Saccharomyces cerevisiae S288C: one gene and its partners. The gene in region 3 interacts genetically with the main gene of each other region. Each region holds a gene or a part of one and is shown on either strand. Other genes may lie near its edges. The genes, in order: MFB1, FZO1, MDM36 and DPC29.

Region 1 (5,285 bases), on a different chromosome or scaffold from region 3:
GACAACTGCAGTCCTTTCTTGTAACCCTTGCGACGTCTTAACTCATCTCTGCTGAGAGTATGTTGTTCAAGAGCTGAGTGATCTTTCATTGGGAACATTTGATTATTTACTGACTTTATGTACGTATAGTAGCTCTTTTTTTGTATCGATTTATAAAAATGCCTGTTCTTACTATTCTTATGGGAATGACACAAAATGTAGACGCATGTCTTTTTCAGGCGTCCTTAATATGAGCGATCAAATTTCGCATCAAAAAAACTTTATTGAAGTTAGAATATATGAAAAAAAGCCACGAAATTTCTAAAGGCAACCACAAATTGTCTTATTATTGATAGAATATAAAAAATAAGTCATTTATTTATATGTACATCTGTGCAAATGGTAGCGGCGCTCTTTAACTGTTTCTACATACCATGCATGCTTGTCTAAAACCATTTCGAAGTTCCGTTGCTAATTCAGAGAAAACTCTTCCAAGCAAAGTCGGTTTGAGGCGTTTTCTGTTATATATTAAAATCGGTATTAGCGTCAAGCCGTTTGATTACATGATCATTCGTATTCGACCCACTAGGGTTATCCAATTCGATTTTGCGATAGCATATCTTATTACCGTCTGTAACAACCGCCTTTAATTTGCTTCTTTGATGAGGTTTGGATAATTCTATTACTGGGGAAGTGTGACTTCTTTGAAATTTATTTTCATCATTTTTCTCTGTTATTCCTTTACAGTTCGAGCTATTTTCTTTTATAATTAATTGTTCATAATTTGCTATCTTTGTACTGTTGACTCTTTTAATTGCTAGAGGATTAGTTGTTTCACCGTTAAAATCGGGATAATGCCTTTCAATCTCCTCTAAATAACCTCTTGAGACGCTCCTTCTGCCAACTTTCGGTAGTATGTCAGAAGGGGGACTTATGATTTTCCTAAAATCTTCGTCATTAGCACTTAACGAACTGGATAATTTCAATCTTGGATTGTCCTTTTTCTTTGTTTTTAATGGTCTGCTATCTCTAAAAATTAACTTCTCAAAAAGTTCGGCTTTATCCTTGACTTTATTAGATTTTCTCAATCTTGTGATTGAGTCAGACGATTCAGTAGATGTAGGCGTCATCTCTTTATAATCAGGATCTCGTGACTTAGTGAAATCCATTGTAATATTATTCCAATCATCGTCCAGTAGTTTGGGCGATGAACTTGAAAATACAGAATTTGTTGAACTTCTAGAATAATTAGAAAATGTCGGAGAAGGGATAAAAGGTGGCTTTTTGACTAAGTCTTCTTCAAATGTTGTATTTTTTTCCAATCCGTGGAGAGAATGTATTTCTCCATTATTCTCCTCTATGTATGTATCATCAGAATCCGCTGAATGGGTCCTAAATGCTTTATCATTGAGTTCGATGAATTGATTCATTCCTTGTAGTATTGCAGTATGAGCGATTTGCTCCCTTGTTATTTCTGTAGGTTCGTTCAAATCCATATTTAAATCTTTCACAGAGCCCTTTTCTTTGCTCTCAACTTCATTTGTTCTATAACTTATTGTCTTTCTAGCCGGATCAATAACGCCTAGTTTATATTTCCGCTGAACATTTCTTAATGATGCGACCAGGGATATGTTGTGACTATTTAAGGTTTTCATTGCCTTTCTATTAAAATTCAAAACATCAAAGACATCAACAAGAACATTTTTTGTCCACCACATATTCCCGTTTGAGCCGATAACAGCATTTCTGTAAACAATGTTCTCATTCGCCAGCATCCTTAGCAAGGTGCAAGTTTTCCCTATGTTTTGTAAATCATTCATATCCAGGTGAGACAATATTCGGAACAATAGGTTTAATGGTAAGTTTGTCAGGGACCTTTCCTCCAGCGGCATCTGTACACTACAAGAAAATAATGTCATCTATGTGGTTGAAGGAACTATAACTAATTCTGGAACAAAAGTGAACTTTCCTTGTGCAGTTTGGCCAATTTGTTTTGATATTTTGTATGAGGATATTTAGCAAGTAGTAACAGAGACTCCTTGGTTATTTGAAAACTTTCCCTTTGTTTAAACTATAGCAAAGTATAACTTTCCTTTTCCTATTTTGTGAAAAAGTAAGTAAATATTGTTATCTCCTCCCAACTGGTTAAATACTGGGTAGGTGCACAAGCGTTTATAGTTTCTAAGAAGACAGCACCAGGAATAATGATAAACAGTTGTTTGGGTCAAAACAAAACGGGTATTGCCAATGCCTTTTAAAATACTTACCCGGCCATAAAATGAATAATAATAGTGTATGAAGACTGTGTTGGAAGATGTTATGGTAGAAGCAGAGGCTTCCGCACTGCATTTAAGAAGCATAAAGGCACTTCTGCTATTTCATTAAGAAGATTCGCTATGGTGAGCATGTTCTCATTATTTCTGCTATTAATTGAGCAATCGCCGCTTGTAGCGTCATTGCAACAAAGTCAACGGCATATAGTGGGTGTTCCCTGGGAAAAGCAGCACTTGTATGACTCGAATGAACCAGATTTGACTAAATGGCACTGTTTGAACCACGAAGATATCGTATTGGATATAAGCCAGATTAATGATGGGGTTTGTGATTGTCCTGATGGTTCAGATGAGCCCGGCAGCGCCGCCTGCGTGGAAGATATATTCAAAAGCGTTGCAGAGGGAGGTGGTAAAGTGAATAAGTATTTTTATTGTGATAACAAGGGGTTTATTCCAAGATATATACGAAAATCGGAAGTCGCAGATGGTATTTGTGACTGCTGTGACTGTTCTGACGAGCTACTTTCTGGATATGAGCTCTTTGATGCTGGATCTAATTGTTCTCAGTTAAAAAACGAATTTGACATTATGGCCTCTAAAGAGTTATCAAGTTACCGGGAAGGTAAAGAGGCCCTAGAAGAACTGGAAAGAAAATACGGTACAAAGGAAGAGGCTATCACCCGTGGTAATTGCTTAGAAGAAGATAAGGAAAAAGCTTCTGCCGAGATAAAAGTACTCTCCAACAGGCTCTCAGAAAATCGAGCCAAATTAGAGCAGTTGAGAGGCGAGTACTTTAACCAATTAAGCCATGATCCCATTTTGTATCAATTTGAACAATTAAACAGTACTCGTTTGGGATCGGACATCCTTACATCGTTCACTATGGTTTCAAGAGTAAGTAAAGGTTACCAGGACATATTCAAGATTTTAAGTGATTTATCAGAGGCCTATACTCCCTCGCTAAATGATAAAGTTGTCAATGATAATATTAAAAAATTCAGAAAAGTTAGAAGACGGGCTGAAAAGGCTAAAATTAATGCAGATAGCAAAATTGATGATGAGCAGGCAGATAATCTTTACTTGTACTTTACAGAAGAAGTACCTCAAATTTTTTTGAAAAGAGAATCTGAGAACACGTTGAGGTACGTCATAGGAAAATCCAATTTTGTTCAAGCGCTAGTGGAGGGTAAAATTAACTATACCAACGATATCTTGGAGTATATCAGAGAATTCCGTTTGATTATGGATGATATTTCTCAGAATTACAATGTTAACTTTCAAGATGCAGGGGTCAAAAGTGCTGTCGATTCGTATAAAAACTACCTAGGTGAATACGGCGAACTGGCTGAATTAGAACCAGCTCACCCGTCAGAGAGCCTTTTGAGATCGTTGAGCGAAGTAACATCATTTGTGAACGAGAATGCACCAAAGGTATTGCCACCAGACGCTGTTGAGTCAGAACAAGATACGAACAGCGATCATATCGGTACTTCTGGAGATTTGCGCAATAAACTCAAAGAGATTCTATCTAAGCTGAATATTTTTTCATCTAGAAAAGATTTGGTCTCATTAGAGAAGAGATTCCGCTCTTGTGAAAGTCAAGTCAGTCTCCTGGAGAATGAATTAAAGCAAAAAATGGACTATAAGAAATTATTAGATGAAACTGAAGATGAAGGAACTAATTCTACTGCAGGAAATCTGACTGAGCTTTTAGAACTAATGGGATCACAATCCTATTGTCTTGACGACATACTGGACAACTATGTGTACACTATATGCTTTCAACGTCCAATGACCGAAGGTGTCATATATCAAGCTGAGGATAAGGTTGACGGTAAAAAAGTTTTGATCGGTCGTTTTAAGACATCAGGTTTTAATGTTGACTTAAACATGGAAAAATACGCAGAACATTTAAAGGCCACATATGATGAGAAGAGTGATTTGATTTCAAACTTAGCAGCTATACAGGACGATGACGGTAACATGCAACATTACGTATTCGGGAACTTAAACGAACTGAATAATGGTCTGGTACTAGAATACGAAAATGGAGACCAGTGCTGGAATGGTCCGCGCAGATCGGCTACTGTATTTGTTCGGTGCAGCGACAAATTCAAGATTCGGAGTGTACATGAAGCGACTAAGTGCAACTACATCTTCGATGTCGTTGGTCCTCTAGGCTGCAACAAGACTTTCGAATACGAGCCCCCTAAGTTCAATTTAAGTGAATGACTGGAAAATGAGTAGTTAGGCTTTTTTAGTAAGTAAACAACTAGGAAGGCCGATGCTGTGCCGTGATACTCTTTTCCGCAACAAAAGCAATATTTCCCTCGGCCAAAACGCGAAAAGACGATAAATAAGTATATCGTTCCAAATACTGATAGTTCTGTACGACCTGTTGGAATAACGCGAAAAGAAGGGTACGGCGTAATCACCCCACACGGCTTGTATTTTTTTCGGAGAACTAAGTCATAGACGTAATGCTAATTTTTCCGTCTAGCCGATGTTTATGCGGCTTTTATTTTTTTTTTTTTTTTTTTCTCATCTTTGTTCTTCCGGTTTCCAAGATGTCTCACAGATTATTACAGTGAATTCCAAAATCATGTTTACTACTGGAATTTGTATGCATATGTTTTGGCAATCTTAAGCCTACGGATTTTAAATGTGATGGATATAACGAACAGTGTTTACTGGAGACTCACTTCTCTGGGCTTGAGTTTACGATGTATAGTCATATAAAAATGAAGAAATTTCTTGAGTGACAATTGCCGCCGTACTTCGTATTGTCTTTTCTTGACAGTGAGGGCGTATAAGATACATCGTACATACATAGAGACTCATTTAGTGATGCTTGAATCGAGCAGTGATAAGATAAAGTTTGCGCCTATTAAAGAGGTAGATTACAAAAAACCGGTAAGTAAGAGTAAGAACTATACTCTTATTAATGACATCCAACCATTGGAGTGGTATTGTCACAATGATAGTGAAACGGGCTACCAACACACCATAAGTAACAAGACAGATGGTGGTAGA
Region 2 (6,169 bases), on a different chromosome or scaffold from region 3:
GTTAAGAATTGCGCAATATTTTTGGAAAATAAAGTTCTTGACCACCAATCCTGGCTCATCCTAATTGCTGAAAGGAGAAGATCCCAAGGATTGCACAAAGTAGCAGCTGCGGATAAAGGTGATTTATCGCCCTCTTCTCCCAGATAGTTTGCCAGCATCGTAGCACCAAAAGAGCATCCCACAGCGTATAGTTTTCTATCTGGATGTCTTTGCTTTTCTCTTTGCAAAAACTCGCGAATATCCATTGTGTGATAAGCTGTAAATAAATTTCTGGTGGTAATTTTGGAACGTGCACAACCTCTGGTATTTAGGACGACCACTTGAAATCTCCCACTGCGAGACAGGTTTTCAGCAAGAGATCTTATAATCGGCTCATGACTACCACCAGCAAGACCATGTAGAATAACTACTAGGGGTAGATCAACCTCCCGTAGTTCTTCCAACTCATTATCTTTCAGGTACCTTGTACGTGGTTGTAAACGAGGCCATCCTTCTGGATGTGTCGCCTTCTCGTCTTTATCAAATTTTTTTTTATCAAAGCTCGTAGTACTTTGATCGAATTCATAATCCTTTTTCCATGAATCTATGAGCCAGTCAGCGGTGCAAACTCCACCATCCGAGAATTTGACAATTTCCCTGCCGTAGAATACAGGAAATTTCTTAGAGAAATCAGCAGCACCTAAGTACAAAGTTTGCAAAATACCTGTGAACAAGTAAGGACTCAATTTGAATTGGGCACCATTCTTCAACGTTGGGACATATTTGTTAGCGAACTCGTCAAAATCAACTTGCTCCTTGTTGTCTTTTAAATGGAGTTTAATGGAACCATTTTCACCGACAATATGCGAAACTGTACCATTGTATCCCCAATGGAATGGGTTGATTGCTGGCCATTTGGAAACTTCTGACATATCGGAAACTTTTATGAGCTTTGTTTTTTACGCAACTACTATCAATGTAATAATAGAACTTAAAAAACTGCTCATATTAATAATAAACGGAGGAAATACTCGAGGAGCTATTACTTCCAGGGACATCCGATATCTGACGCCTTTTAAAATCTGCACATGCGCAAGATTTAAAAAAAAAAAAGGATCTCGGAACCGGAACGAGATTGCTCATTTTTCGTTCCGTTTCCGCAGGTTTTGCAAATCATTAAGCAGATACACAAGGGTCCTTTTAATGTTTATGTAATTTCGTGCAAAGTGAAAAAAAAAATGGACCTGCTTGGAATAAAATAATAAGTAACATTATGTATATTGATTTGAAAAGACCTCATATATTTACAAGAATATCTAATCGATGTCTAAATTTATTTCTTCCACCATCAATTTTTGAGCCACGGTTCCTTCGTATAGAGATTGGAAGAATTTGATTGACAACAAGTTACTTTCTTTTTTGTTTTCCAATTCTTTCTTAGTGATTTGTTTTTTATCCATAATTATTTCACACGACCTTAGAATTTCACGTGTAGGTACACGCAAAACATCACGTACTTCATTTGAGGTTCTTTGAGCGTTAAGATGAATGTAATCCAGTTCTTGCAACTTTCTTTTGTATTTAATGGAAAGATTCATTGGTAAGGCACGGGGGAGGTCATGAATTAAATACGTAAGTCCCAACAAGGAACCTACCACTATAACCGGAACTGATAACTTCTTGAGTGAGCTCCACGACGATAATTTAATGCCGTTTAATATAATGTTCCCCACAACCTTTGTACTTCCTAGAAAGTACAGCGTTAGAGTGGGAATTTTTGATGTGAAGAGCAATGATGGTCTTGACCAATATTGTGTCAAAGGATAATTTTTCAAACCCAAATACTTCATTAGGCCAATCTGACCCTCGTTAGTTTGTCCTTCTATATCCGGCAGTGGTGCTGTGACAGGTTTCTGCCAGCTTAAGTAAGACAAAAAGCCTTTCCAAGTTGGAGCAAACAAATCAGTTATTGACAAAGATACTTTAAGCCTTTTTCCTATCAAATGCTTCCTTTTTCTAAACATTAGTTCGCTTCTGAAAACACGTTCACACATGAAATCATCACCAAGTTCATTTTTTCCAATCTCATAAATTTTTTTTACCAGTAAATCTGTCTTTTGCTTGGCAAATAATTCACTTGATCCTATTGACTCATCAATCTGATTTGCTATGAACGCTTCTGTTGAAAATATGAAGTCATAAATTTGACCGAGGCCCTGATATTTCGGATATTCGTGTAGCGGAACATCCAACGCATTGAGAAGTGCTTCTTTAGTATTGTTATAAGTCATTGTAATTGTTTGCTCGGCCATTTGATCAACGGAAGTTGTTAAATCATTGCACTTTGCTCTAGCGCTCAAAATTTCAGGTCTCAATGTTTCCAGTTGTTCGTTAATTTTTATTTCTTCTTCACTATACATTTTCATATTAGATTTGGAGATCATTATTATATCGCTTAATAATTTCGATAGATAAGTCTTGGCAGGTAACAATTTAGAAAGTGATCTTTTCTTCAAAACAAAATTGCGTAGAGAATCTTCCAGACTGTCAAAATCCGGATCGGGATCGCTGCTAGAATATGGGTCGTCGTCAGGTTTTCGGTCACCATGATCTTCATTGTCATTTTCATTATGATAATGTGGCAATTCATCTCCGTTTTTGGAAACAAAGTGGACAAAATCAGCTGCACGTTTATATGTTTCTGGGGACAGGTCACGGATTTGCTTTAGGATCAACTCCTTACAACGTTGTTTGTCCCTGATTTTGTCAAATTTTTTCACAACAAAAAACATTAATTTTTTCTCACGAGATGCTAAAGAAATAAACTCCTTGGCAGATAGTGTTAGCTGGTTCTCTGCATTGACAACAAATATAACTAAGTCGATTTCTTCTTGTCGGGACATTACTTCGGCGGTTTGTAACGAGTCCATGTTCAACCCAGGGGAGTCAATTAATGAAATATCAACAGTACCATTCCTTAATAGACTAGTAGAGGCAGGCCTTTTATCGTCCTTTATGTAAATCTTCAGTAAAGCATATTTTCCGTTTTGGGGAACCAAATCGGGAAGTTCTTTCAAAGTGTGTATTTCATAAGTCTTGGGATTTTGTATTGAATACATATCAATGGCTTCCTTGAGAGTCGGAGCAATGTTTAGTGGTATGGCATGAACCTCCTCTATGCCGTCATTTTCCCGAGCCTCTAGTATTTCGGAAAATACATTGGTACATGGTAGCTGATCCTCAGGTAGCAAACGCTGCTTTAATAGAGAGTTGCAAAGAGCTGATTTACCAGTATTTACATCACCTGTGATGAATACTTTAGATGAAACGTCATCCACTCTTTTTTTCAAAGCGTTTAAATGATTTGTCACTGATACGATCTGAGAGTGAAATAATTTTGATAAAGCTTTTTTCTCAATGTTGAAACCGTTCTTTTCTTTGGTATTGTACTGACCATCTAGCTTGATATTCAGTTGTAGAACATGTAATTTTTCCCGTTCATCATTTGCAGCAATAAAAATCGGGCGAATATTATTTTCTTCTTGAAGTTGATCCATAAAAGCTTGTGTCTTTAATATAGATCTTTTTAAAAGTACTCTATTGTTGTTATAATTCCACTGGCTAAGTTGTGAAGAAATTAAGTGTGCTTTTGAGTTGGAGGAACGCAATGAGGGCAACAAATCATCCTCCCTACGCCCCTCTTCACCATCAAACAAAGTGGTACGGTCATCAGTTACTCCATGGAAATTACTGCCTAAAAAATGACCTTCGTTGCGTGAGTAAGTAAGAGTTTGTGGTACTATTGTGGCGGCATCATCGTCCTGATCTGTGGAGTCCTTGTGCGGTTTATTGCTGTCTTTGAATTGTTGTTTTCCTTCAGACATCGTTAAATGAGCCTACCGTTTTGCCTCTATCCGTGATATCAGATAATGTTGCTATGTTCGGATGTACTTTGCTTTATTTATTAAGGGCTACTGTAACCTGCGTTATCCTGTTTCAATAATGCATCGTCCGTCTTAATTAATATTAGCCCGGCCATATTCTTCAGCATGAAAAGCTGTATTTACCCGGACTGCGCACCAACTTTTAAATATTAATCTCCGTTCGGTCTTTGCGCGAGTTATTATACTAGCGCCACGTATTAGTAATACTATAGCTATCTTGCCAGATAAGGGATCACAAGGAATTATATACCGTGGATCACAACTATCCATATCACTCTTCCCAATTTCGCGGAGAAATACTTATGCAGGTTTCCAAATCATTTCCGTAGCCAAAGCTGCCTGTTGGCCACTGTTTTGGCATCTCTCTACATTTTTTTTTTTCATTGATACTTTCAACCCAGACATTCTGTCACCTGGTGAAAAACGACACAAACTCCTTTGTAACAACAATTGCAATTTTAAGATATATGAGAATATTGATAAGGCTAGAAGGATGGTAGTAAGAAAAGTTGTTGTTGGTAATTTTTCAAAAAAGAGTTTCAAGAGCTGGGAAAAGAATTAAGGCAATGGGAAGCGAACCGTTTCAGAAAAAGAATTTGGGTCTGCAAATTAATTCGCAAGAAAGTGGAACAACCCGCTCAACATTTCATTCGCTAGAAGATCTAGGAGATGATGTAATTAATGAAAGCTGGGATCAGGTGAACCAAAAGAGAGCCAATATAGATCATGATGTCTTTCATGAGCACCCTGACTCTTCCCCATCATTGTCAGCACAGAAAGCAAAAACAAAAGAAGAGGAAGTTGCTGTAAAGTCATCGAACTCCCAGTCAAGAGACCCTTCTCCTGATACTCAAGCACATATTCCATATACTTATTTTTCCAAGGATCAAAGACTAATCATTTTTGGAATTATCATTTTTATAGGATTTTTGGGCCCAATGTCTGGAAACATATATATACCGGCTTTACCATTGCTGCAAAGGGAATATGATGTAAGTGCAACAACAATAAACGCTACAGTTTCTGTATTTATGGCTGTTTTTTCCGTTGGTCCATTGTTTTGGGGCGCACTGGCGGATTTTGGTGGAAGGAAATTCTTATATATGGTGTCGTTATCACTAATGTTAATTGTTAATATACTTTTGGCCGCTGTACCAGTCAATATTGCTGCCCTTTTTGTTTTAAGAATTTTCCAAGCTTTCGCTTCCAGCTCTGTGATTTCTCTGGGAGCTGGCACTGTAACAGACGTTGTTCCTCCAAAACACAGGGGAAAGGCCATAGCGTATTTCATGATGGGTCCAAACATGGGTCCTATTATAGCACCCATTGTTGCTGGGCTTATTTTAATGAAAGGAAATTACTGGAGATGGCTTTTTGGTTTCACTTCTATCATGACAGGAATAGCATTGATCTTGGTTACTGCTTTACTTCCAGAAACGCTACGTTGTATAGTTGGTAATGGAGACCCTAAATGGGGTGACAAAAAAGATGAACGTGAAAATAACGAATCTCCATTCTTCGAAGGTAATAAAATATCACATCGGCGTCTGTTCCCAGACATTGGTATCCGTAAACCAGTCAATAATGATGCTTTCTTCCAAGAAAATTTTCCAAAGCCGCCTAAAGCAGGTTTGACACTATATTGGAAAATGATTAAATGTCCTCCAATAATAATCACGTCCGTCAGTACTGCACTCCTGTTCTCCAGTTACTATGCGTTCAGCGTCACGTTTTCGTATTACCTTGAACATGACTACCGTTTTACTATGTTAGAAATTGGTGCTGCTTATGTCTGCCCAGGTGTAGCTATGTTACTAGGATCTCAATCTGGTGGGCACCTCTCAGATTATCTTCGTTCACGCTGGATCAAAAGTCATCCTAAAAAGAAATTCCCGGCAGAGTTTCGTTTATTACTGAACCTAATTGGAATTTTACTAACAATATGTGGCACAATAGGATACGGATGGGCAATCTTCTTTCATTATCATTTTGTGGTTCTTTTAGTTTTTTCCGCTCTCACTGCCTTTGGTATGACCTGGTGCAGCAACACATCAATGACATATTTAACTGAGTTATTCCCCAAAAGAGCTGCTGGAACTGTTGCTGTTAGTAGTTTCTTTCGAAATGTGGGCGCTGCCATTAGTTCCGCTATCATTTTACAGCTCTGTAACGCAATGGGAATTGGATGGTGTTTTACAGGGCTCGGTCTCTGCAGTTCAATTTCATTGATTGGTATATTATATCTT
Region 3 (5,283 bases):
CAGTTAAATCAAAAGCCGCCCTGTCAGCACAACCGACACATTCAATCCAACCATACGATGTTAAAATTTCACCGTCCCAACAATCTGTGGCATAGTGTGCCATTTCATTCTTCAAATGCTGGCGAAATCTGAATTTGTCCTTGTTGATCCCAATATTCAACAAAAATTGATGAACTCTTGCCATAAAATATCCCAATGTTTCATTTTCTACCATTCCAGAATTCACTGCCTCTCCTATAGTCATTTTCACAGGCAGTTGGACTTCACCACTTTCCTGTAATCTGCGTGATAGTAGTGGAATCTCCTCATTTAACACTTCATTGAATTTTGCATGTGACTTATTCAACGGATCAACAAAGTGCTCAATTTCTGCCATTAAAAACTCTCTTACCCTTAAAAGCCCACTTCTGGGGGAAATTTCGTTTCTGAATGACTTACCAATGGAAGCTGAAGCAAACGGAATTTTCCCTTGGTTGATTTCCAATAATTTGTTGAAATTGAGAAATTGTCCTTGTGCAGTCTCTGGCCTTAGAAAGGCCTTCAATTGTCCTGAGGCTCCAATTTTAGTTTCGAACATCAAATTAAAGGAAGTTAGTGCGTCTAAAACATCGTTAGTGACTGGATCATTAATGTTATATTCCTGCATGACGAGATTCAACTCAGGACCCGAAAACCCGTCAATCGTGGTCAATATTTTCTCCATATTTTTCATATCCTGTGGATTGACATCCTTGTCCAACAGCCGTTTTTTCAACGTCTGTTCAATCAAATGGTCTGCTCTGTAGTATTCCCCAGTCTTAGGATTTCGGCACATCCAATCAGTAAATTTGTCTACATGCCCAGAAGTCTTCAACACATCGTAAGGAGTTAGCATTGGCCCATCAACCTGAAGCATGTTTTCTTCCATAATAAAATGTTCTCGCCACAGTCGAATCAAGTTATTTTGCAACTGACAACCCGGAGGCCCTAAATCAAATAAACCTGACACACCACCATATATCTCAAACGAGGGTGTGTAGAAAAACCTTCTCCTCAATGTACTTTCCAATTTATCTCTTTCCGAATTGGACATTAACGGCATGTTGATGTGATATGTCTTTCAACAGTCCAACAAAATGTTCTTTAATGTATCACATTTATCGTTTTTCACTTTCATTGTCTAAAAGAAAAAAAGGGTTGCAACTACTATCGCAGGTTCATAAATTAGACCTCATACGAACAGTTCATCAGAACTGATCAATATGCTTCGACCTTTTATATTCTGTCAAGGTTATTCATTACTTACTCACTGAATTGTTAAGACATCGTGCGCCTAGCCTACATAGTTATTATGAATTATGAAACACGCTTATGATTATAATCGTATGGAGAGACCACCAGCCCTTTGTTCTTCCTGGCACCTCTGAATATAGTTTCTAATATGTCAATCATTTCTTGTTTGTCGTCTACAATAAAGTTCAACTTGTTGTTGTTCCCTGTACCAAAATCACACATCATGTGCTTATTGTGGTAGAAAAACATTACTGTCATGGGATCCGTCAGCTCGTACATCTCATCAAAATCTGAAACTTCATCTATATCACATAAATAAATAACTGCAAAGTTCCTTACTCTTTCAGCAATCGAAGATAACAACTCGTCCATGATCATACATTGTCTATCATTTTTGCGACCAAAACGAATGACAACAAGTCGTTTAGTCTCGGTAACAATAGCCTGATCCACATGCCATCCCGTACGCAATTGAGGCAACAAAACACTAGCCATCAAAACTTGACTTCTTACTCTTTCTCTACGTACTATTTCTATCCGATGATCGAATTTGGTATGTAAGTTCTGTTTTTCCACTTTGCGAAGCGGTCATTGGCCCAAAAGAAATACAACGAGTCATCTCCTCGCAGTAAACTGTACAACAGCAAAGAAACAGTTAAAAACCCTCCAGAGAGAACACTTACTACTATAGCATGGATGAAAACGGTACAGTAAAGCCTGGCTATGAATTAAAGGGACTCAATTCGGGAAATTCGAGGTCAAATATGGATAAGGATCCCATCGTTAGCAAATTTCATAGGGCTGGTCTCAATGATTCTGCAGACGAGGAAGATACTGATATCAATGGTAATCGCAACACTAGCTGGATAACTTCAATGATTAGTGAAGAAAAACGCAAGGTGGAGGGAAAATCTATGCTGAATGATGAGGAAGATTTGCATTTATCCAAAGCTACTTTGAACAAATGCGATGCTCTAGTTAAGATATTAGCGGATATTATCAAGCTAGAGTTTGTTATTCACCAATCATGGTATATCAGATCCCTTCACAAGAGTGTCTTAATTCAATTTGAAGTAGAAACGTCTGGTGGAAATAAGAATAGCGCCGGTGATAGCGGCGACGATGATGATGATAATCATAATGGTAATCTGGACGATAGCTTTTATAAAGATTTAAGCTTAAAATGCATCAAAAAATGCGAGAAGTCTTCCCTTGCACTTGAGTCGCTGTCAAGGGACATTGACCAAATTAGAGATTTCATAATGTCCAATACAATAGAAGACAACAGGGTTGACAGGCTTTTGCAGAATTCGATGACCCTGTTATTAGAGTGTTGGATCTACTCTATGAAGAGATTGCGCCGTCTAAGGATGAAGATTGCAGGTATCTTTGTTAGGTCCAAACTTTTGCTTATTGATCATGAATTAGTGACCATATGGCATTTTTTACAGGAGCAAAACGAGCACGAAACGGTTAATAATGAGAACGAACTGAAATTGGCAGAAACAATAAAATCATACAGAGCGTTCATTAAGATATTTATTCAACAATTGGAGGACTCCGAATCGGGATCTCCATCCTCCTCTTTGTTTGAAGAATGTTTACACGTTTTTTTGGATATAGAATCGATGTACAACTCTTTAAACCTGAATTGGCTTTTGAACGAAAACAAAGCATTACAAGAAAGACTACTATCACCATCGTCGACATCGGAGAACGATCATACTAATAACCTTCCCGTTATTGATGAGACAAAGGAAATCGAAGATATCAGCTCATTTGTCAATAGCATTGTGGATGCATCCATGTTGACACATGATTTGACTCCTATTAACTCATCAGATAGCGACAATTTATCAAACGGAGAAATCGATCGTCTAGATGGAAGAAGGTTATCCTCTTCCACGTCAGATATGTCATTGATGATGCAAAGGACTTCTCTGCAGAAACAACTTCCTAGCTTATTAACTGCCTTCAACAACGCAAGAAGACTAGAACAAGAATTGCAAAACGCATGCAAAGTAAACGATAACAAACATAGCACGAAAGATACTGATTCAAATATACGACGGAATGAACATGCTATGTCTTCAAGTGTATCCTCCATCATCTCCCAAAACTCCACATTAGCATCACCGTCTCCTCCGATGTCATCGTCCTTTATATCCACGGCGCCATCACAATCAAGTTCTCGTATGAGTACATTACCACTGTCTCCTTCCTCTTCATTATTGGAATCACAATCGCAAACGCTGAAGAACAATATGTCGCAATGGTTGAACCAATCGCGATCTGGCCTCAACGGCACAAAACTTATTCCAACAAACCACATTGGGTTTCACAGCAATGTTCTGAATACTTTGTATGGTATCGGTGGTGGTCCGGTATCGAAATCTTATAAATCCAATCAACCTTCTTCACAAAATACTTGATAAGAATAAGGATATCATTGCTATGTAAACAAACTAAATGCGAGGGTTGAGTACATAAATACAAAGCAAGACTTTTATCATACATAACACATATAACAACCAATGCATGCATCCTCTCGACAATAGTTTTGTGCGTATGTCTTTGCGAAGTCCAAATACTACTCACATCCATCTTTTATTTTTTAATCCCATCGCAGCGAGTTTAAGCCTGAAAAATAGTGAACCAGTTGAAAAACACTAATAACATCGATGCAAAACTAACTATCAATAAACTGTTGTGTTTTTAGAACTCTGTACGTTGTTTCCTATCCCAAGAGTTCAATAAGACGCAGCCAAGCTTTTATTCTCTTGACTCGTCCATCATAGAGCTTTATAGAAATGTCAGAGAAGGCTTCTGAAGAGAGACCCATACGGCTGGCCGTTCTGGGGGGCACTTCTACCGGAAAGACCTCCCTGGTATCTAGGCTTACTGTTAATATCGTCCACGAGGTTCATTATCCAACAAGAAACCAAACTAACTGGCTTTTCGGCTTTGTTCCGTCATCGATCCTGGCCAGAGCTATATTAGACGAACAAGCTCACGAAAGACTTTGCCTTCGTTCCCCAAGCAGCCAAACCTTAGAGCCTATCTTCCCTTCACCTCAGGTCTCCAAAAATGTACTGCTGTCGCCATTGGTGTTTCAAGCTTCCACTGATAATTTTCAATCAGTGAGGTTACACAACAAAAGCCACTCCAGGAGATCCCTATCTTTGGATAAATCTGATTCTCCGCTGTATCAAACTTTTTCCAATGACATTAACTCTCAAAGTGTTCCTAAAATCAAGGCAGACCAGCTTAACGTTATCGAGCATTTTAAATTGCCCCTGAATTACATTCCACCCACTTATGCACCAATCCAGATTGATATTATTGATACGCCTGGCTTCAGTCCTGATAATGTGGTGCCGTTCTTAGAAGTTTCTCTCTTCCGAAATTTAGGAAAATCAATCCTACATGGACTAGCAGATGAACCAAGACGACCTGTATCTACTACTTCACTATTGGTTGCCTCTGGTGCCTCTGAGTTGAATGGTAAAGTTGACGGTTATATCTTGGTGTATAGCGCAGTCCCTGAATTAAACCATATTGGAGGCCCTCCGGAATATGGAGATGATGTGATGAACACAGATACGGAAAACGTCAGCGATGGTGGATTTGAACTTTTAAAAGTGATTAGAAACTGCATACTAGATGCTTGGACTGAATTTCGAAATTATGAAAAAAGATGGGAGGAAGGCAAAGAGGATGATATTTACTCATTGGTTTACAGCCTGAGACATCTATGGAGTAAAAATAGCAAAGAGAAAAGCGCCAAAATAGAGCAATTGAGATCCTATAATACCAAACTAAAATCCATCGAGTTAGACCCCTCATCTCCCGATTCACCACCACCATGCATTATCGTCTGTTCTCACGTTAATCATGAACTCGCAAGCCCAATGTTGATTGAAATGGGAAGACAACTAGCAACAAAATGGAAATATGGATTTGTTGGAATAGACAGCATGGATGATTTAAATGTCGATGTGGCGGTTAGCT
Region 4 (4,468 bases), on a different chromosome or scaffold from region 3:
AAGGAACTGGGTGAAGTTTTTGACACAAGACCAGCATATTTTTTGGCTGATTATGAGAAATCTTTAGGTAACTATATCACTGATGTGGATGGGAACACATATTTGGATTTGTATGCCCAAATCTCTTCAATTGCACTTGGTTATAACAACCCTGCTTTGATCAAGGCAGCACAATCACCAGAAATGATCCGTGCTTTGGTCGACCGTCCTGCCTTAGGTAACTTCCCATCTAAGGATTTAGACAAGATATTGAAGCAAATATTGAAATCTGCGCCAAAGGGTCAAGATCACGTCTGGTCAGGGCTTTCCGGTGCAGATGCCAATGAATTAGCGTTCAAGGCTGCCTTTATTTATTACCGTGCCAAACAAAGGGGCTATGATGCCGATTTTTCTGAAAAGGAAAACTTGTCTGTCATGGACAATGACGCCCCTGGCGCCCCTCATCTTGCCGTACTATCGTTCAAGAGAGCGTTCCACGGTAGATTGTTTGCCTCCGGTTCCACAACTTGTTCTAAACCAATTCACAAGTTGGATTTCCCAGCCTTCCACTGGCCTCATGCTGAGTATCCATCTTACCAATACCCATTAGATGAAAATTCTGATGCAAACCGTAAAGAGGATGACCATTGCTTGGCCATTGTTGAAGAATTAATCAAAACCTGGTCTATTCCAGTTGCTGCCTTAATCATCGAACCAATTCAATCTGAGGGAGGTGATAACCACGCTTCTAAGTATTTCTTACAAAAGCTAAGAGACATTACCTTGAAGTATAACGTTGTCTACATCATAGATGAAGTGCAAACAGGTGTCGGAGCCACCGGTAAGCTATGGTGTCATGAGTACGCCGATATTCAACCACCTGTGGATTTAGTGACCTTTTCCAAGAAATTCCAAAGTGCAGGATATTTCTTCCACGACCCTAAATTCATTCCAAACAAACCATACAGACAATTCAACACATGGTGTGGTGAACCTGCAAGAATGATCATTGCAGGTGCCATTGGACAGGAAATCTCCGACAAGAAGTTGACTGAACAATGTTCAAGAGTAGGTGATTATTTGTTCAAGAAATTGGAGGGTTTGCAGAAGAAATACCCTGAAAACTTTCAAAACTTGAGAGGTAAAGGAAGAGGCACATTCATTGCCTGGGATTTGCCTACTGGTGAGAAGAGAGACTTACTATTGAAGAAATTGAAGTTGAATGGTTGCAACGTTGGTGGATGTGCAGTCCATGCAGTGAGATTAAGACCTTCATTAACATTCGAGGAGAAGCATGCTGATATCTTTATTGAAGCATTAGCCAAATCAGTTAATGAATTATGATTGTATATTAGCGAGGCCGTGTCACGTTCCCTTTTTTGGTCTTTATATATGTGTATCTTGTTATAATTTTAAAGAAAAGTTTTATATTACTCATCAGTTGTGTGTGAAAAATATGGGCGGGTATTCACAATAGGAAAAAAAAAATGGGTTTGGTGACTGCAGTAAAGACGTGCTAAAAAAAAAAAAGTTGTTTTTATCTGAACCTTAAATATATCATTTATGAGTGTATATATTATACAAACGCAATAACAGTGGCTCCCGCCCTCCACCTCCGCCTGCTACTAGTAATCTACCAGTAATTGTGTTTGTTTTGGGAAAGATCGTTCGCTTACTCACCGAACAACTTTCTGACTCTCTTCAATACAGAGTCCTTTTCAGGGTCGTAGGGATGATCTTTAGATGGAATTTCTAAAATAGCAGGGAACGCATTGGTGAAGGAGTCCACTCTAGCTCTTATGTTTTCCGCGATATGTTGGTTGATTAGAAGGATGGCAATATCGTCTCTCTCTTCAGTAAAGTGATTAAACTTGTCAGTGATTTCCTCCTTAGTAGTCTTACCTTCTTGGTAAACAAAAAAGTTCTTTTCTTGGGTTTCAGGAGTGATTTGTCCAATCCCGGCTAACAATAAACCAGTTGTAGTATCTTCGTCAGCTATCACAGCTATAAGAGTACGTTTCTCAGCCATGATTTAGTTACTATGCGTCAGTGAGACTAGCTATGAATATAGAAATGTAGTGCTCTATTTTCTTAATTCTTTGTCAACTCGATATAATAAATGTAGTGCTTGCAATTCACGTTGGTTTTCCTGTTATCGTTCGCCTTTATTTTTTTTTTTTCTTTCGTTTTCCTACTTCCCTTTACCGGCGTAAGCGCAGTGAAATTTTTTTAGTACGCACGTACGCAAGTTTCAGCAGCAATAAGGGGAAAGATGATGATAATAACTAAGAAAAACAGCAAACTTGGTATGAACGCATCAAAAATTGGAAAATGTTGGTAAGAAATAGGTATCTGGGTGAACTGCTCAAAAACTCTCGATCGTTTAGTGTGCTGAATTCCTCGGTACGTTCAGGTCACAACAAATGGTCAACCATCAAGCACGGTAAAGCCAAGAATGATGCGGAACGAAACAAAATTAATAACAAGTTTGCAAACCAGATAGCAATGTCAGTCAAGTTAGGCAACGGTATTACGGATCCGAGCATGAATATAAGATTAGCCACCAGCATCGAGCTAGCAAATAAAAACAATGTCAGCAAAAAAGTTATTGAGAACGCCATCCGGAAAGCTTCTGGAAGCAGCGCATCGGGCAAGGACTCAAACGCTTCTGAGCTATGTGTATACGAGGGAATGGGGCCCGGCGGGGTCGCTATAGTGGTGGAAGCGCTGACAGACAACAAGAACAGGACCATAGGTCTGATAAGGAGTGCATTTAATAAAGCTAATGGATCGATGACTCCAACGTTGTTTTTCTTCGACAAAAAAGGATACGTTACAATGGTACCTCCGAAGATGTTAGACACTGAGGACAAGGTGCTAGAAAGCGTACTGGAGATTCAAGGCATCGAAGACATTGCGCCTGTGCAGGAAGACGCAGAAGATTTAGAGTGTGATACCGAAACTGAAACTACAGGCCAAACTTACGAGGCGGTGATGGAACCTGCCGATACCAATAAGGTGGCCGCCCTACTGAAGGAGCGTGGTTTCCACATCAGAGACTTGGGCATCGGCTACAATGCCAAGCCGGATATGGAAGTTTTCGTGCAAGGCGATGAAACGCTCGAGAAACTACAGAAACTGACCACAGCGCTCGAGGACATCGACGAAGTGACGTCGTTGTACACTAACGCTAGCAACGCTTAATCCAACCAAACCGTAAATAAATAATCAATACCACAAATACCTGTATATACTAAACAAACAGTAGTAATAACTGTAATAAAGAGTAAAAACAACAACAAAGACAATCGTACGTAAAAACACCAAGCGGACACCAGCACTTGCCTGCTGCGGACTGTTGTCTGCGGACTGGCGGGGGTCGAGCAAGAACCGACGAAGTAACCGACGGAAGGCGGGCGGAGACGGAGACGCAGCCGAGATCTATTTTTACTCAGCGGTAATATTAGATCATGGCTAGGGGGATCTGGAAGTACAATGATGTGCTCTCCCCCTCTCAAACACAACACCAGGATGAACTAAGGGCTCATCTCGAAAGTCGAAGGTGCCTCATTCAGGTTATTAGTGGTGCCTGTTGTGTCTTCCATGAACAAGGAGCACTTAATTACTTGTTGTTGCATGAGATATCATTTTTTTTTTTCCCTCTTTCTTGGGGTCTTGACAGTCATCAAATCGAAGTTTTTAGTTTTTCTTCTTCGGGAAGATCAATTTTAGGTAGAAAAGTGTAGATGAAAAACGAAGGATACTGCTATTTACTGTAAGTACTCTTCGGTCCATATTGGAAGACCAAGGCATAATAAGGATATATTCCGAGGAGATAATTGGGATATAATCCTCCATTGCTTCCGAAATTTGTTTAAACACTTCTAGTTCATTTCGGGTTGGTTCGATCTTCGTTTCCACTTTTAACTTACTCCCAGTTAGTATAATATAAGTAGTTAAGGTATGGCAAGCTGCAATCCGACCAGGAAGAAGAGCTCTGCTTCAAGCCTATCTATGTGGAGAACGATTCTCATGGCGTTAACAACACTACCGCTAAGTGTTCTTTCGCAGGAGTTGGTTCCAGCTAATAGCACAACATCGAGCACAGCTCCTTCCATCACTTCGCTTTCCGCAGTTGAGTCATTTACGTCCAGTACCGATGCAACGAGCAGCGCAAGTTTATCAACGCCGAGTATAGCTTCAGTATCCTTTACTTCCTTCCCACAAAGTTCTTCACTGCTTACTCTTTCGTCAACATTATCCTCAGAACTTTCCTCTTCGTCCATGCAAGTTTCGTCGTCTTCAACATCGTCGTCTTCTTCGGAGGTTACGTCATCATCGTCATCATCATCAATATCTCCTTCCTCTTCATCATCAACAATAATATCATCGTCATCATCACTGCCGACATTCACTGTGGCATCAACATCTTCGACAGTTGCCTCCTCCACACTTTCCACTAGCTCATCGTTGGTTATCTCTACGTCTT

Evidence for each region.
Region 1: mutations in MDM36 (region 3) and MFB1 together harm fitness more than expected from each alone (negative genetic interaction), as found in Saccharomyces cerevisiae (2 studies listed by BioGRID).
Region 2: of MDM36 (region 3) and FZO1, changing one suppresses a phenotype caused by changing the other (phenotypic suppression), as found in Saccharomyces cerevisiae (one study listed by BioGRID).
Region 4: mutations in MDM36 (region 3) and DPC29 together harm fitness more than expected from each alone (negative genetic interaction), as found in Saccharomyces cerevisiae (2 studies listed by BioGRID).

The regions. Positions count from the first base shown.
Region 1 is NC_001136.10:904,955-910,239, forward strand, and holds MFB1 (Mfb1p), read right to left. Parts: upstream 1,899-5,285; coding exon 501-1,898; downstream 1-500. Other genes in the region: septin SPR28, read right to left, coding at 1-98; GTB1 (Gtb1p), read left to right, coding at 2,376-4,484; YDR222W (uncharacterized protein), read left to right, coding at 5,100-5,285.
Region 2 is NC_001134.8:585,252-591,420, forward strand, and holds FZO1 (mitofusin), read right to left. Parts: upstream 3,864-6,169; coding exon 1,296-3,863; downstream 1-1,295. Other genes in the region: EHT1 (medium-chain fatty acid ethyl ester synthase/esterase), read right to left, coding at 1-911; DTR1 (Dtr1p), read left to right, coding at 4,490-6,169. UniProt on the Saccharomyces cerevisiae protein: Essential transmembrane GTPase, which mediates mitochondrial fusion.
Region 3 is NC_001148.4:702,890-708,172, forward strand, and holds MDM36 (Mdm36p), read left to right. Parts: upstream 1-1,964; coding exon 1,965-3,704; downstream 3,705-5,283. Other genes in the region: GRS2 (putative glycine--tRNA ligase), read right to left, coding at 1-1,081; U4/U6-U5 snRNP complex subunit DIB1, read right to left, coding at 1,336-1,767; YPR084W (uncharacterized protein), read left to right, coding at 4,083-5,283. UniProt on the Saccharomyces cerevisiae protein: Involved in mitochondrial distribution and morphology.
Region 4 is NC_001139.9:525,322-529,789, forward strand, and holds DPC29 (post-initiation translation factor DPC29), read left to right. Parts: upstream 1-2,310; coding exon 2,311-3,183; downstream 3,184-4,468. Other genes in the region: UGA1 (4-aminobutyrate transaminase), read left to right, coding at 1-1,323; VMA7 (H(+)-transporting V1 sector ATPase subunit F), read right to left, coding at 1,652-2,008; MTL1 (Mtl1p), read left to right, coding at 3,943-4,468.